Oryzias latipes: one gene and its partners. The protein of the gene in region 2 interacts with the protein of the main gene of each other region in a biochemical or structural test. Links are inferred from orthologs where the notes say so. Each region holds a gene or a part of one and is shown on either strand. Other genes may lie near its edges.

What was found. The genes of interacting proteins can lie anywhere in the genome.
Region 1: the proteins of hdac6 (region 2) and cttn form a complex in vitro, tested with the Homo sapiens proteins (3 studies listed by BioGRID and IntAct, with this or other methods). The link is inferred for Oryzias latipes from reciprocal best matches to the Homo sapiens genes HDAC6 and CTTN.
Region 3: the proteins of hdac6 (region 2) and tppp form a complex in vitro, tested with the Homo sapiens proteins (2 studies listed by BioGRID). The link is inferred for Oryzias latipes from reciprocal best matches to the Homo sapiens genes HDAC6 and TPPP.

What each region holds. Positions count from the first base shown.
Region 1 is NC_019861.2:2,175,493-2,178,977, reverse strand, and holds the end of cttn (src substrate cortactin), read right to left. Parts: intron 3,393-3,485; exon of another isoform or gene 3,291-3,392; intron 3,091-3,290; coding exon 3,019-3,090; intron 2,003-3,018; exon of another isoform or gene 1,934-2,002; coding exon 1,797-1,933; 3' UTR 528-1,796; downstream 1-527.
Region 2 is NC_019865.2:34,318,359-34,321,934, reverse strand, and holds part of hdac6 (histone deacetylase 6), read left to right. Parts: intron 1-1,218; exon of another isoform or gene 1,219-1,235; coding exon 1,236-1,321; intron 1,322-1,572; coding exon 1,573-1,657; intron 1,658-1,726; coding exon 1,727-1,767; intron 1,768-1,862; coding exon 1,863-1,959; intron 1,960-2,282; coding exon 2,283-2,380; intron 2,381-2,479; coding exon 2,480-2,584; intron 2,585-2,709; coding exon 2,710-2,778; intron 2,779-3,576.
Region 3 is NC_019874.2:16,680,325-16,683,744, reverse strand, and holds the end of tppp (tubulin polymerization-promoting protein), read right to left. Parts: intron 2,703-3,420; coding exon 2,549-2,702; intron 2,466-2,548; coding exon 2,256-2,465; 3' UTR 528-2,255; downstream 1-527. Other genes in the region: cep72 (centrosomal protein of 72 kDa), read left to right, coding at 1-14.

The DNA of each region.
Region 1 (3,485 bases), on a different chromosome or scaffold from region 2:
TATTTTTTTTCCCCCTCCAGCAGTCTATACCGAGTAGGGGTCTTCCGCTCCCCCCGTCCGGCTCGGCCAGCAGCTGACTCAGAACTAGTTTGGATCAGAAGAATCCAACTGAGTAAAGCGTGGCGAGGGGCCGGCGGCGGGCGCTGACCATGGTGCTGACGTGATTTCTGCTCAGAGTAAAGAAGCTCAATGCAGCGCGGGGTTACGTGTTCTACGTGTTCCGTGGTTTTAATGTTTTAATGTGAAACATCTGTGAAAATATCCCAAAGAACCACCATTGTTCCGTTTTCACGTATGACCAGTTTCCATCCGTGAAATATGTGAAACATGTACGTAGTGGCTGTGGGACACGGTCTCTATATTAGCGGTGCAACAGAAAGTGATGAGCAACGTCAGAGCCATCCAGCCGTCCGGTTCTGATCCAGACTCCAGCTCAGACCAGGAAAACACAGACGTTCATGGATCTGTTGATCAGAACGGATTACCGTCGGCTTCTGATTAACAATTAGCATGAAAACAAATACAAATGCAATTTTAATCCTTTTATGTATATATGTGTGTGTCAACCATGAGAAGAAAATGGGACAAGAACATTTTACAAACATTTTTCCATCAGAGTGGGTCTTTAAAGGATCCAAACTAACCGAATGAAGAGACTTTGAATGTTTTTGTGCTCAGACGTTAACATGAAGACAGATCAGAACTGCTGCTGGCTTCCTGAAAGCAGGAACGTCTAAACGCATCTTAAAAGGGATCCGTTTGGAAAAACCTTTGCATTTAGCAGCTGCGTTTGGACATTTGAGGCTCCAAAACATCAAATATCAGCTTTCTTTTGATAATTCAGACAGTGAAAGTGCATTAAACATCCAAACATTTTCCTAGAATTCGGATCTGAACATCATAAATGGCGTCGTGTTTTCTGCGTTCATGCTCTGCTTTACAGTTAAGCATCTTCTGCTCACGGGCTTGAAAGAAACAGCATTTTAGGGGAAAGGAAGCAACAAGTAAAAAAATATGGATGTACATAAAGTTAAAGACGCCATAAGCCCCTCCCCCTCATCTTCATTTCAGATTATTTTAATATCTCACTTTGTTCAAATGAAGCACAGAAAAAATATTATTCCGTTTATTTATTGAAACTTTAAAAAAAAAGAGCAGATAATGATGAAACTGAAGCAGAGAGGTGTTTCAGATCAAACGTTTGAAAAAGGTCACTTTTTTAAATCCGTTTCCCCAAAGATGAGCGGATGTTTCAGCTGCACTGCGGCGAGGCGGACTCAGGATGAGCGCGGGTCCCGAACATCGCCGGGATCCACGCGGGATCTGCTCAACGCCGGCGGCAGCCTCACATCCAGAAAACACAGAAGCAGCCGGAGACGAGGGATTCCTGCGGAGGGTTCGAGCACGGAGCGCAGACGACGCAGACGGCGCAGACGACGCAGACGGCGCAGGAGACGCAGGCGGACAGAAGCTAGGAAGGACGCTCTGGACCTCTCAGCAGAACCGTTCTTCTGCTGTTCTTTAAACCAACTCCAACTCTTTGGTGAAGATTGCACCGGGGGGGGGGGGGGGGGGGGGGGGGGGGGGGGGTAATAAACGCGCGCTGATGCAGGGGGGGCTAAACCTGTGGAATGACTTGAATGACAGATCGGAGGCCGCCTGACCTGAAAGCCGGTCTGAGGCGGGAAAAGGAGCGACGACGTCTCTCTGTGTCCAATCACGAACATGAGCTGAAGGGAGGGAAGACCGCGGCAGAGGCTCCGCCTCCGGGGGAGGGGCTGGCCCTCCGCCGCTCCTTACTGCCGAACCTCCACGTAATTGGCGGGGAAGAGGCCGTAGGCTCCTCGGCACACGCCACGCCACCAGCCTTCATCGATCATCTCAATGTTCGTGATGATGTCATCGGGGTCGAAGGAGATCTCGTCGTCACCAGCTGAGACGGAAAACATGGATGTTAGAAAACCATCTGCAGACACTGGAAACAGACTCCGCCTCCAAAAAGGTATTTTCTTTAATCCTATTCTCGCATTTTGAAGGTCGAGATAAAGAAACGGAAATAAATTACAGGAGTTTCATCTAATTTTAGCTTTCTAAAAAAGGAGTAGTAGGCTGTGTTCAGACCGGAGAAGCGTTTGGTTCTGACCCGGATCGAGTCCTGAACCTTGTCTTGGGTCTATATTCAGACGGCTGTCAGGCAGCCTTTCTGTTCCAGACTAAAGCTTGTCAACAAAACCATGTGACTGCAGACCTCTTCACTCATTGGTCAGGAGTTAGGAGGGCGGGGCAAAGCAACCAGAGACAGAAATGATGGAAGTCCTGCACTTTCAGTTCCTTCAGACTTTAGATTCACTGACAGATGTGAACGTCTGCATCAACGTCAGGCTGCAGGACGGTGACGGACAGAAGAACACGAATGTGTTTCTGACAGTCAGGAAAACGGTGAGAAGTGATGTGGATCACCTTCCAATAGTCTGAATGAGTTTCTGCATCTCATCGTTGTGCAGTTATGGCGTCGATTTGAAGAATTCTGTTCAGGAACTACAAGGTAACTTTTAGGATGACGTCACAGCGGCGTTTGTCGGCCGTAACCACACAGAAAAGCCTGTCAGAAGCGTTTTAAGGTCGGCTACGGTGGCCCGGTGGGTCCAGATGTTCCGCTCCGAGGACGGATTGTATTCAGGCTGAGGAATCTGATTGGAAACGAACCCAGACCACCTCCAAAGGTGGGTCACAGAGCGGTTCCTGGTCCTGGACCAGAGTCCTCTTGGGTGGATTCAGACTGAAAACTTGTTCCAGATTATCTGGAAAAGCGAATTCTGGTTCACTTAGGGAACCAAACGTGTCCAGTCTGAACACACCCTTAGATTCCAAAAAGAAAGACATTCTAGCCTCTGAAGGAGTTCAAACAGAACCCTGATGTGTCAGACAGAGCTCGTCTTTTTCTCTGGGCTGTCGGCTTCAGACCCTGAAGGTGCAGCTGAAGTCAACCGCTGAGAACGGAATCCTCCTCCTCCTCACCTGCTTGGTAGTCGTACAGCGCCACAGCGGTCACCCCGAGGTCCTCGCCGTACTCGAACTGCTGATCATCTATTAAAGAGCAAATACAGCAGGTCCAATCAGACGCCCTTCCCTCCAAACATCTGACACGCCCATAATATTCAGATTCCCCATATTTGGACGGCCTAGGATGTAAACCAATCCCTGCTGTGCCCTGAGCTCTGTCTGTCAGGCAGAAGACAGGCTAGAGTCCTGATCAGCACAAATCAGTGTGTTTTCCTTTAACGTGTCAGGAGGACGTCACATCCAGGAAACCTTTGAATGATGGGAGAGATGAAGAAAGACGAAGACGGCTGAAACCATCATCAACCGGAGAAGAAGCTGCTGCTTTGGAGGTCAGTGTGATGTCTGTGGAGTTTAAGAACCTTCACCCCACAGACAGGCTAAATACTTCACAGAAATCCAGACTAAAACCAAGATTTGGAGAC
Region 2 (3,576 bases):
AATTACAAAAGCAAGATTTTCTTATGATGGTTAAAATTAATTTAAGTTGCACACAACTGAAATGTAATCTATTCAATGTGTTTACTGTGAATATGAATGACTTAGACACCAGAAGGATGCTCTGTCCAGATGTTTGTGTATTTGTTGGTGTGAGGGTCATTGAAAGAGGAATGTTGAGATACAAAGAATTAATAGTTAAATACTGATGGATGAACGGTGAAATATTCACTTGTTACAATCATCAGCCATCAACCTCACCGCACGTCACTGAGTATTTGTGTGTGTCAGAGACAGGCAGAGAAAAGAGAGAGAGAAAGATAGTGTTTGTGTGTGTGTGTATGAGATGTGACAGAGGTGCCTGTGTGTGTGGAGGGGGTATCTGACCTCCAGGGTTACCTGTGTTAACTCTGGCTAAGCTGCATTTGATGTGTGTATTGAGGATGGACGCTTTCCTTGAAATAAACACAAGTACCATACTTGCTGTTGTGTTGTAGGGAGAGGAGTGTGTTATGGAAAATGATATGGCTTTAATTGTGTGTTTGTGTGTGTACGTCTTGGCAGGTCAGTGTGTGATGTGGCTCTTTGACTCTCACAGTGAAAAAATTCGGCTCTTGGTGACAAACTTGTTCGCCACCCCTGACATAGACAATGGACCCAAAAACATATTTTCATATTTTTGGCACAAAAGGAACCTCATAAAGATACGCACACTCAGCAGAAAAAAAGGTACTTGCATGTTTTGTAGGTCTATTATTACCATACAGTGATACCGGCACACAGAGCAGCTGAGGCGCTCGCTTTCTTAGTATGGGGAGGAAAATCATTCATTTTTTAAAAGTGTGATTAACAGTGTTAGAAGATGCCTGCGTTTACGCATGATTGAAGCGTTAAAAGCGACGGCCCTAGTTGCTAGAATATTGTGACATGCAGAGGACTCAGTGTGTGGTTTCCATGACCAATCAGATGGTGCAAGTGGCAGACAATGCTGGACACATGCATTCTCTGTCGTCTCTGCCAAAATAACCACTTCAAAATCGCCCCGTCAGATTAAAAGGCAGACGCTGATGTACATCAAAATAAAAAAATATGGGGCTGGCTAAAAATTGATCAACTCCAGATAGAAGCCCCCTCAAGAAGGCATGTAATAAGACTCTGCATGTAGGCTTTTCCTAAAGATGCTGAACAGTGCACTTTTCTCACTTTTCTCTGCTCTGAAAGCCTTTTTCGGTATCCAGGGTCTTTCCGGCAGATCTGCAGCCAGAGGAACCGGTCTGGTTTACTCGGAGATCTTTACTCGGCACCAAAACCTGTGGGAGCCCAGGTAACCGCGCCTCAGAACATTTGTTCTTTCTGGACTGCTTTGGTCTTTGGTCATGGATTCAGTTTGTGGTGTAGCATGGTCATTCTGAAGATCAGCAGGGTCCCCACAGAGGCTCAGACGTGTCCCTGTCACACAGGGACACGAAAGTTGCTGTTGATCTCTGTTGGTGACTCTCAGGAGCTTGATTGTGAAGAGTTTCTCAGGTCTTGGTGATCCTTGGATCCTCTGATGTTTTTCTCTCCTGCTGTCAGTCATCCAGAGAGTCCAGACAGAGTCAGGTCCATCATGGAGGAGCTGGAGCGGCAGCAGCTGCTGCCTTGCTGCGTCAGTGTTCAGGTGAGAGCTGTGAGCCAAAATTGAGAGTTTCTCTGATCAAAAGGAAAATACCCTCTGTTTGGCTTTCAGCCTCGGGCAGCTACAGAGGAGGAGCTGCTGCTCGTACACACGTGAGTCAGAGCAGGCTGCACACATGCACACACACACAACCCCTGTCTTTCCTGCCACCTCATCCCACACTTGTGCTCTGATTGTGTTATTCCAGGAAGGATTATATAGACCTGGTCAAGTCCACAGAGACCATGACACAGTCTGAGCTGCAGACCCTTTGTTGCAAATACGACTCTGTCTATCTGCATCCTGTGAGCAAACACGCCTGCACACTAGCAATCACAAACGTACATGCACATACTCACACGTACACACAAACACTCATGCAACCACACTGGCAAATGTACTTGTAAACACATGATCACAGAAAATGTGCAAACAGCCACAAAATGTACTCACACTTATACTCAAACACACATTAATGCACAAACGTACACAAACTCAAAGAAACAATTATATGTGCACATGCACATAGGTGTGTGTGCACCCTTGGAGTGAAAACATGCTTTTTCCTGTAACAGTGACATCATGACATTCAAGTCAAGTCAGCAGTGTGTCTGTATATCTTTGTCAGCTGTCCTTCAAGGTATGTGCAATAGCAGCCGGTTCTGTCCTGCAGCTGGTTGATGAGGTCATGGCCTTTAATCTCAGGAATGGATTTGCTGTCATCAGGTAAATGCAGCTGCTTCCTCTGTGATGCTTGGAGGATCAGGTGCGTGTCGTTTCTCCATCATTTAAGTCACCATTGTGATGTCTCTTTTTCTCTTACAGGCCCCCAGGTCATCACGCTCAGACCAGCGAGCCCAACGGTTTCTGTGTGTTCAACAATGTGGCAATTGCAGCTCGCTACGCCTGCAGCCGTCACGCCGTCAGCAGGTACAGTGTGTGTAGCCAAGGGAGCAGCAGCTTTCTAATGCTGTCATTCACATCTTCTTTGACACCATCTACACAGCTGTGCGCCTCTGATCTGGTGCTATTCTTTTTATCGCTTTGTCTTTCAGGGTTTTAATTGTGGACTGGGATGTTCACCATGGGCAGGGTCTTCAGTACCTTTTCCAGGAGGATCCCAGGTAATTGGTGGGGTTGTAGGTCAATACTGTAGGTTGGGTGTTCAAATCCCCTGTTAGAGAGTCATTGGTGTAAGGCAGTGCTTTTCAATTATTTTTTCCAAGGCCCCCCTTAGGAAATAGAAAATGCCCCCCCCCCCCACACACACACACACTCACCATGGTTCAATTCAATTTTTTCAATTCAATTTTATTTGTATAGCCCAAAATCACAACAACAGTCATCTCGATGGGCTTCGAAGTGAAACATGAACTCAAAAGGATCACAAATACAAAGAGTTCAATATTAAAATACTAAAATGAACTAACAAACTGACTAAGCTATACTGGCATCCCTGCCCTTAGACCCCCCTTCGCGGTAAGGAAAAACTCCCAAAAAACCGGATTCCGGAAAAACGAAGAAACCTCAGGGGTGTCCACATGAAGGAGGGATCCTCCCCCAGGACGGACATGCGATTTACCAGAACTCAAAGAGAAGAATTTACTTATTTAAATCTACAACTACACATTTAAAGTCCAGCAGACGAGCTTCATCCAGCCGTGGTTGGGGGGACAGTCAAAGGCGCGAGTCGAGCCGGAGACAGGAACCACAGCCAGGTGTAGGAGCAGGAGCAGAGACGAGGTACTCGGTCAGGTACAGAGCAGAGACGAGCCAGAGATGAGCCAGAGGCAGGATCCACAGCCAGGTGTAGGAGCAGGAGCAAAGGCGAGGTACACGGTCAGGAACTGGAGCACGGATGAACCAACTGGAGTCTGGAAGCACTCCCACTCCCCAGGAGGGGAGAGGAAAAGAGGAACAAT
Region 3 (3,420 bases), on a different chromosome or scaffold from region 2:
TGAGGCAGATATGATGGAAAGGTGCATTTGAACATATTATTTTAATCACGGTAGTTTTTTCTTTTAAAAGAATTAGCACAGACTTTCTTCTTGATATAAACAGTAACCAGGGAGAGCCATTCATTCATGAAATTGTGTATATCTGCACGTCAGGTCTGTTATGCTAACAAATTATTATCAGGGAGAAAATGTGAGAAGGTAGGTCGGTGTCGTAGGTTTTCTGGATCTTGTTGTAAGATCTTTTTCTTTTTTTTTCTCTGTTTTTTTTTAGGTCAGTTGTGTCTGTCTGCAATGGAGTGGATGCATCAAGGCTGCAGCTGCACTCTGACTTTATTTATACGTCTGCCTGAAGGGCTAGAGGGCTGCGCACGCACATGCACTTTCCTCTCACAAACCTTAATACAAGACTGACCAGCTTAGCATTTCTATGCAACACAAAGTCCACACAGCTTTGGCTCTCCTCTAAATGTTACCGGTCACTGGTTTGGTGCTGTTGCTGCAGTTTGATTTTTGACTCCTACTCGGCACATGTTGGGATTTCTTTATTTTTTGAATAAAGCACTATAAATCATGAACACACCTGGAGAAATCTCGAGATCAAGGACAGACGCTGAAACACGGCATGCACTGGGTCACAATGAGCATGTTAAAAAGGACTTGGAAAACTATTGTTTCTCCACAATAAAAGTGCACATTATTTGGCATCAGAAGCACAGAAACGATACTCCAGCGTTCGCAGCAGACACAAAAACACACCGAGCTGCTAGTTTTGATGCATGACTCTTCATCGGCTGAGGCTACAGGTAGTGCGTTACACAAGAAACTGTTATCTTGGAAAAATATTTTACAAAAGTGGCTTGTTTGTTTCTCCTTTCATGTGGAATACTTAGTAAATAAACATTAAAAAAACCCTGCTTCGTCAGTTCGATAACCAAACATTAACAGTACAGACAAAAAGAGTTGCATTCGAGGATAATTTACTTTGCAAACATTTCAAGCAACACAAGATTTTATCAGTATCCCACGGCTTCAATGACATTTTAAGCACAACAGTTGTTAGTTTGGCACAGCAGTTTCAGAGTTTTCATCCATAAAGGCCCTGGAACAATATATTCAGAACATGCAAAAAAAAGTACACATCACAGGAAAATTTAAAACACACAACCAGTGATTTAAATTAGGGTGCGCGGCTAAATATGTCTGAATATTTACACAGTCTTGCCACAGGGTTGATTAGTTTTAATCTAAAGAGAAAATGTTAAAAATACAGTCTAATAACATTTCTTTTGTTGAAGAGTTAGTACTTTTATCAGAATGAAAAGGCTTTTTACACTTTTGTGCAGACTCTGAGACGTCAACACAGTGAGAGTAAAGATTTCATGAAGAGCCACACGCAGCATGAAGGGATGGAGTTTTTTTTTGTCTAAATGAAGAGTAAAATATATGACACATTTAAACACAAGCTGACAACGCAAATATGTCTCGGTTGAGCAAAAAGACAAATTCTTTAAAGTTGGGAATAGTGCTAACACATTTAGGTGCCCTAATTTTCTTTGTGTGTAAAAGGAAGTAGTGAGAAAAATGATCCCTTTAGTTTCATGTAAAAGCAATCCCTTTCAAAGTTTTCTTTAGAGGTGTGACTCAAATAAATACGAGTAATCTTAGGACTTTCTGCTCCAGTGACCTTTTGAACTTAATTAAAAGACTGAACAGGGTTTTTTTAAGCCATAGTGCAACACTGCTTAATAGGAAATAGGCTTTTACAGCAAACATCAGTTACCTGTGTGCCGATCACAGCTGAAGCTAAAGCGGATTAAAAACGCCTTAGGTGCTGAATAATGTAATGTAGCTAAATATGGTAGTAAAAATGTTTCTATTAAAAAGTGCAATGTTGCTAATTCATCAGACGGTTGCAATGCTGCTTTTCTTGGCATGTTGTTCGTTGTGCTCGATAAACATAAGGTCCTATCATAACAGACTTTGAATACTCATGGCATTGCAGTTGCATTTGTTCTTCTCGTGTTTTGGCAGTCACTTGCTATCAGACAGGAATGTACCAGCTGGTGACGACTTTGTAAAAATAGCTGTAAACATTTTTCCAGTTCTTACACAAAGAGAAGAACTCCTCAAAAAGAAAAAAACACAACAGATGAGCGGGAAAATAGATGAAACCTTTTTTTTTTGTGCTTTCTAAGTATGTTTTTTTTTTAAATATAAAATCATCCTGGTAGTGGATGAAATGTTTCTCTTCGCCCTCACATGGGTCTACCCTCTGTGGGTTTGTTCACTTTCTTCTCATATGTCCCTCGATGCTTGTATCCAGAGACGTATCCTGAAGTGTCAACTATGTCTACCCGCCCGGCCTTCCCTTTACCGCGGCCGGTTTCGTCGAAGCGCTCCTTGTGCGAGCCGGTAAACTTGGTGGGGTCTGTCAGACGGCTGACGGTCGGGGACGCCACGGCTCTCTGTCAAGAAGCGGACGGGCTGTAACTGCGCTTTGCTATTAACACAGGCACAAATCATGTGCGCGGTGTGAATCAGATCTTACTGTGACTCCGGCGATGACCGGCGCCTTCCCTTCGATCAGCTTAAAGACCTCCGCCTCAGCCTCCTCCCCCGTCTTGTCTTTGTATTTCTTCCTGGCCAGCTCACCGAGTGCAACCTTGAATTCGTCATATGTGATGGTGCGGCAAGTTTTCTTCCTGAAAAAGGAGGTTTGATTAGGATAACAAGCTTAATAAGATCTCTAAATGTAGAACACAATGTCTGACTGAAAGAATAAAATTGCATCACATGCGGTATGTTGACAACATTTTTCTCTCTACTTCACTTTGTAGCTGTCGCCATAGCAAAACTTGCCTCTCTATGCTGCTGTTTATGATTATGGAGGCTGATTAAACCTGGAAAACCCAAATACCTGGGAATCTGTCTTCTAATATTCCGATTTTTTTTTTTAAGTTGCAGCACAGATCAGTATCATTAATCATTCTACCAATGTAGACTGCTCCAGTTGTTTAACTGGCCTTTTGCCCGTTTCACTTCCATGTTAAAAGTCCTTAGTTACACAAACACAAACAGTCAATGCTGTGGAGATAAATCCCCTAAACAACAGCCTGTAAAGTCTGCCGTCTCCCCAGGCAACCTGCTGTCATAGTAACCAGCTGCAGCAAACAAATGTTCGGGTGTATTATCAATTGGACTCGTTCGGTGACCGGTTTTGTTTGGACAATCCTTCAGTCGTGAACATTTGAGAGCTCCATTCCTCTGCGCCTGTTCCATGCTGTCTATTGTCAGGAGTGGTGTCCAACTAAAATAACTGTCCTCTGCAGATCTTCCTGCACGGACGTACTCCGTTAAAGCATGTTGAGGGTAAAGCCGTGAAAGGAGTCTTTGCAAAAAGCTCCAGCTGAAATGCTAACC